Linked DNA regions of Xenopus tropicalis. The protein of the gene in region 1 binds, or shares a complex with, the protein of each later gene. Links are inferred from orthologs where the notes say so. Each region holds a gene or a part of one and is shown on either strand. Other genes may lie near its edges.

Region 1 (3,573 bases):
TTGGGGGTGCCAAAATGTTAGGCACTCCCCAGGGACTTTTAAATACCTTTTACCCTGACTGGCGCTCCTATTAGGAGAAAACCGCACCAGCCGGGGTACCTGCAGCGAGTGTTGCCTGGTGCAGTTCTCTACTAACAGGGGCACCAGCCCGGGGTAAAAGGTAAGCGATTTAAGTCCAGGGGCGTGCCTAACATTTTGGTACCCCCAAGTGACTTAGATACCATTTAGAGGAGAAGGAAAGGCTGAGTCTAACATTATAGGAGATACAAACATTAAATCTTATTCATAAGAGGATCTGAAATTCCCCTATATTTGTGGCTTGTTTTCATACTGTAATGGTTTTGAGCAGTTTCTGTTTTAAGTTGACATTTAATACATATTTTTAATATATTTATACAGGTCGGGCCATTTATGATGTCAGCCAAATTTCAAATATAAGTACAAGCTGCGTTAACGAATCGGCTTTTAATTCTGTGATGACCAGCAGACTGGATCCTCCAGCAGATGCCCTTGAGAACTTGGATATCAGTTCATTACAAGCTCCAGAAGACCTTCTTGATGGCTGCCGAGTGGGTGTTACATCTATGCACATCTAGAGTGCATGAATAATCAGAAATACAGCAGATAATTTTGTCATTTATTATCTAGGCTGTTTATGGTCCATGGGCAATGTTGAAAATACTGTGAAACCATAGGATACTTTTCCTCATAACTTAACTACAGAAGCTCCCATCATTCCATACCACATATAAACTTTGTTAATGTGACAATTCTGGATGTTGTCTTACTCAGGCGGATTTTTATTTATGTTGGGGGAGGCTAAGCCTCTCCAAACCTGCCTTGACACCTTTAAAAAAAAAAAATTGCAGAAAAAAACACAAATTACCCTGCCTTGATTACTGTGTAATGCATGTTTAGCGGAGTAAGGGGTGATGTATGGCTTGTTGCCCCCTGTCACTGCATGCAGGCATCTTAATTGACTCCTGATGCTGGTTTCTTCCCGAGAGATTAAGTCCCAGTATCACTGGAATTGGATTGGCTGAAGGTAAACTTTGAGGCACTCTCCAGCCAATCTAATTCCTGCATGGCTGTACCGAGATTTAAACCAGCAGCATCCCATGATGCTGCTGGTTTAAATCTCGGTACAGCCATGTTAGAGTGCTGGGATTCCTGTTTATGAAGTTGCTGCTGTTGACACTGGAGGTAATTAGCTTCTACTTCCCCCCAAGCTGTTAAGGTGGCCATACACGTAGCAATAATGATCTTTCGTGCGACCATTGGTCGCAGGAAGGATCGTTCCCACCCTCCATTGATGTTCAGGGCTGAATCGTCCGATATGGAGGGAGAAACAATAGAAATTCTACTTCCACCTGTCACCTCCATCAGCCCTAAACGTAGATATTGCTTGGGGTCCTTCAACGGCGCCCAATCAAAATCTTTTAACCTGTCCATTCAATGCGACAACTGATATCGGCAGCCTTTGCGATATTGCCCATCACGTCGAGCCACCATACAATTATTTAATGATTTAATGTTCCTGCTGTCATTACCCACTGCCTCTCACTGTATTGAATATGCCTTTTGTGTAATGGCCCACTGCCTTTCACTAGATGCTTTGGATCAATTAGAAGGTTGGTTTCATTTAGAGAAAATGTTGAACATGATGTATGTATGTTTTTATTCAACCTTAATTACTATGGTACTATATCAGTGAGCAAGAAAGCATCTGAAAATATTTTCTGGCAAGGATACAGTTATTTTAATGCTGGTAAACTGAAAGGTACTTTTGGAAAAAAGCACTCCCACCTGCACTTCTGCACTGTTCCAACTAAAGTCAGTGGGAACTGCAAGAGGTAGTTAGGGATCAATTATATCGGCGCAAATCTAACATTACCTGTAAGTCAGTCTGTGTATGGCCAACGTTAGCCTCCCCAAAAAATCACCCTAGGGTCATACTTTAGCAACTGTTTTGCAGGCAGTTAACTATCCATGAGCTACATGTAAATGTTACATTTTCACCCTCTTTCAGATATATTTGTGCGGGTTTGGGGGAAGAAAGTTGGACAAGTTGAGAAGGCTAATCAACAGTGGTGGGGGTGTGCGATTTAGTCAGCTTACCGCAGATGTAACCCATATTATTGTTGGAGAAACTGATGAAGAACTAAAGCAGTTTTTGAGCAAAACTCAACACAGGTTAAGTAAAGACAATCTTTTTGTTTTTCTGTTGCAAATCTTAATGGAAATTTCATCCAGGTCAAATATTGTGGTTGACTTGTGCCTTTGTCAGTGAAATTATTATTACTAAAAACAGTAATATTAATTAAAGTCTATCACCAAATCAAATCATTAAAGTGAAAATGTATAGTACTAATGTAATTTTATAATACACAAAATTCTTTATATCTTAATATATCCTTTTTATAATTAAACAACTTATAAATAGAACAATTCTTTAATTACAGGTTGATTTGTTTTTGTCTGTAATGTCCTAGAGGCCCTTCACCTGCTTTCTGCATCTCTCAGGACCTTATTTTTGTCTGCACATTTACAAATTGATAGGGCTTGCCAATTATACTTAAAGTGAATGGCAGCAATGCTTTATGTGTACTGTATCTGAGTAACTCTAAATGTGATCCTATCACTTTTTGCAAAAAGTGGTCACAGTATCAACTACATTGTATTGTTTAGATTCTAGGGAATATATATATAAATATATATATATTTATAAAAAAATAACATATGCATTTGTTTGCAGGCCTTATGTGTTAACTGTAAAATGGCTACTGGAAAGCTTTTCAAAAGGACATCTGCAACCTGAGAACATATATTCCCATTCAAGCTATCAACAAACTGAGCTTTCTTCACCAGTTCAGCCTGCCTTTAATTTAACTGCTCAAAAGATCAGTAGTACACGAGGGCCTCTAAACCACACTCACAACCAACAGGCAGATGAGGACCTGCTGTCTCAGTACACAGAAAATAACTCCACTTTAAGTAAGAATTATAGTTAAATATTTTATTGTTCATTTGATATCTGTCTTTAACCTTGCTTGCATGCTTGATTTAAATGTATTATACTGTATTATATTATGTTCTTCCAAGCAGTGGTTGTCTTCAATCATTTTAATCATAATAGCCCTGAACTGGATTGCACTAAATACTTGTTACACTGTATTACTCTAATTACAAAGTGCCTTGAACAGTTTCCCCATTATTTACAAAATTATTTTTATGCCATTTATAAAGTCGTTTTGCTTTCATCTTTGCATGAACAAAAAATGTATTTTTATAACAATAATTTTCTGTTGTTCTAGTTGAGGACGAACATCCTAAAATCTCTAATACCAACAGTATTTCTCAAATGAGCATGCATGAAGATATGACATCTTGTACCAGCCAAAGTGGTTTGGCGGATACATCCACCATAATTGAAGGAGGCTTATTCAGCCGTAAACAATTCTTGGTGCTGGGCTTTTTGGAGGAAGATGAGGCATGCATCATAGACATAATAAAAAAGAATGCTGGCAAGGTGCTTTCATCTCAGAAAAGAGCCATTGCTGATTATGCTGTAGT
Region 2 (2,952 bases), on another chromosome or scaffold:
ATTCCATTTAATTACATCTTAGCTGGCTCCAAGTAGAAGTTACTGTTTCCTTACTGTAATTATGAATTATTTGATTAAAGTGGCTTTTTCTGTAATTCTGAGATTTCTGGATAATGGATCCCATACCTGTACTTATTTAAAATATACAATTCTAATTAAGGCTAGTGTCACATGTGACTGGCTAAAAAACCTGTGCAGTCATCCACTCTAATAACATAAAAATGCCCACAAGAGGTGACAGTCAAATGATGTCTTAACAGGCAGTGAAAGGCTTATAAAGCCAAGCCACCTGATCTGCCATTAGCTTTAGGCAATAATATTATATATAAATATATATATATATATATATATATATATATATATATATACTCACTGCCTTTGTTATAATGCAGAGGGGCAGTTTGGACATATTACTCTACTAGGGCTTAGTATGATGGACAAATTACTGCATAATATGTTGGCACTATATAAATAATAAGAACTGTTTATTAATAATATTATGTTTTGCATAATGGATTGAGGTGCCAATGCCATTTAAATTTACTGCAAAGCCAGTTTAAAAATAAATCCTCATTCATAACTCACAGTGTTATTAATGATAGCGACACTACAAGATGCTTTTTTTATGGATTGACAAAGTAATTTGAACATGATGCATTGGCCACACTGTCACAATGAATAGCGGCACTTGCTATATCAGCTTAAAGGGGAATTTCACCCAAACATAACTTAAGCTTTTTGAAAAGTAGACATTATTTCAAGCAACTTTGCAATATACCAAAATTAAAAATATGCAGCCTTTTCAGCCTTTTTTAATGTAATAATATGGTTTTGAACAGTTACCTAAGCCCCTGTTCCCCTACTGATCTGGCTTTGAGACTCAAAAAAATCAATGTAACAGTAGTTGACTGTCCTCAACCTCAACCTGCATCCTCCAAATCCCACAATTCCCTGCACATGTGATGTCAGTACAGAACATTGAAGTGCAATGCATTGTGAGTTATGTCATTTCTGCATGCTGTCTGTAAGCTGTGGAGACCTAGTTACAATTTGTAACATCAATGATTTAGTCCCTCCTCCCTTGCCAGGATTTCAATTGATGCAAGAAGAGAAGATCTGTTTTTGCAGCTGGATTTCAGCATATAAAAATAGTATTTATTCATACATTTGAAGAACAGATTATAGTGAAAGGTATACAAGGGGTGTCTGTGTTGTGCCGGGCTCTTAATCAAATTTTGGCTTGGAAGCCAGAGTTCCCCTTTAACTTCCAAATATTGATGAAAATACATGTGCCTCCATTTCAGTTTCACAATAAGCATCTAACACAGTATACTTACTATTATATCTGGGAGCAGTACCAACAAGAGATGCTGGGATTGGACTTAAAGGAATTGCAATCTCCGGAGGTAATGTTGAACTCTGAGTGGAAAAAGTTGGTTGTGTGAATTCACTGACACTTTGTGTAGGATGAACTGTGAATTCCAACAATGAAGATGTCGGAGAGGTATTCTTGGAAGACGACGGTGCTCCCAGGGAAGGTTCCTCATCGCAGGTTGTACTGGATATTTGCATTCTCTGCTGCTGATTTTTTGAGAATTCATTTAATGACTCAAGTGCTCCATTAAAGGTAGAGTGGTGCTGTACAAGCTGCCGCACCCATTTGGATAACCCTATTAAAAGCATTAGACAGTTAAGCAAATGAGGAATGAAATGATAGATTCATAAACTTAAGACAGCTTCCGTAATTACATTTAGCTGCATGAAAGCACTTCATTAAAGACAAAAATATAATCATGAAAAAAAATCTCTATGTCTGTCGCCTCATTCTCTCTCTATATCTATATCTAAATATCTATCAAGCACTACAAGCACTGACACAAGTGTGTGGGGGGGGATAACAGGTCATTACAGGTGCTTAGTTAACCAAAACCAAATTTATGTAATTATTTACAATATGAATAAGTCTTCAGCAAGACCGTTTGTAGCACTGCACAAATACTTATACCAATTGCTATATCCATATAACAGTGTGTGCTTCTTCTGTAACAGGGTACAAGACAAATATACCGCTGTGAGAAAGGCTACTGTAGCTCTATCCATGTCCAAGTTACTGCATTTCTTTACTCACGGTGGAACTTGAGCTCCCCCTGCTGACGTCTAAAGCAAACGACAGCTTTGGTTCAGATTCTTTTTCATTTTTCTTGCTACCCGCCTCACAGCTAAAAGCATTTTGCGCTTAAGGGAAGCAATTTGTTTGCCAATAAGGTTTCAGATACTGATGTATGCTTTTTAAACATCCAAGAAATGCCTCCTATATAACTAGTAACAATAAAGATGATTACTAGAAAAAAGTCTGTCTTTGATATTTTTAAAATGATTCTCCTACTATAATCATATTGCTGGTTTTTAGTAACATTCAGCCAGATATTGTCAGCAAGAGAGGCTTTGGCCATAGCAGTTCCCTTTCCAGTTCAGTTCCAATTAAACAACTCTTCCTTTGCAACTTAACCTTACAATAGGATCTCTTGCTTTTTAATGACAAAAGGCTTTTGAGGTTCAATTTTTACTACTTTTTTGGGGTGTGGCTGGGGATGGTAAAGTGGGAATCAAGTGAATTCATTTTTAAAGAACCCCACCCAAGCAATAGGTGAGACAAATATCTAATAACCAGCTGAATGCATATAATTAGCTGTAACGGCTTCTCAATACTGTGGGACAGTTTTGGATTCAAAACTGCACGTCAGACCATGATAAAAACACACACACACACATATATATATATACACATATATATAAAAAGCGACATAAATGCACATGCGAGCAACATGTTCTGCTTCGAGACATATAGTATTTTGTCTGGAACCTAAAATTTAGCATAACCTGCATAGATATAGATTCAGTTGTGCTGGAATGATAGAATACTATTGTCACTATGTATATTTAGTCTCCATA

What was found. The genes of interacting proteins can lie anywhere in the genome.
Region 2: the proteins of topbp1 (region 1) and brip1 are in contact, whole or in part, in a crystal structure (PDB 3AL3), measured with the Homo sapiens proteins. The link is inferred for Xenopus tropicalis from reciprocal best matches to the Homo sapiens genes TOPBP1 and BRIP1. Residues at the interface, in NP_008958.2 of Homo sapiens: Leu1272, Ser1273, Ser1274, Leu1275, Asn1276, Pro1277, Arg1280, Gln1298, His1311, Leu1313, Arg1314, Asn1315, Glu1316, Lys1317, Leu1319, Gln1366, Arg1407, Gly1410, Phe1411, Leu1414, Thr1466, Glu1467, Ile1469, Ala1470; in NP_114432.2 of Homo sapiens: Ser1129, Tyr1131, Phe1132, Thr1133, Pro1134, Glu1135, Leu1136, Tyr1137, Asp1138.

What each region holds. Positions count from the first base shown.
Region 1 is NC_030682.2:52,594,004-52,597,576, forward strand, and holds part of topbp1 (DNA topoisomerase 2-binding protein 1), read left to right. Parts: intron 1-399; coding exon 400-569; intron 570-2,029; coding exon 2,030-2,193; intron 2,194-2,755; coding exon 2,756-2,994; intron 2,995-3,314; coding exon 3,315-3,573. UniProt on the Homo sapiens protein: Scaffold protein that acts as a key protein-protein adapter in DNA replication and DNA repair. Composed of multiple BRCT domains, which specifically recognize and bind phosphorylated proteins, bringing proteins together into functional combinations.
Region 2 is NC_030678.2:91,927,106-91,930,057, reverse strand, and holds part of brip1 (Fanconi anemia group J protein), read right to left. Parts: intron 1,671-2,952; coding exon 1,338-1,670; intron 1-1,337. UniProt on the Homo sapiens protein: DNA-dependent ATPase and 5'-3' DNA helicase required for the maintenance of chromosomal stability. Acts late in the Fanconi anemia pathway, after FANCD2 ubiquitination.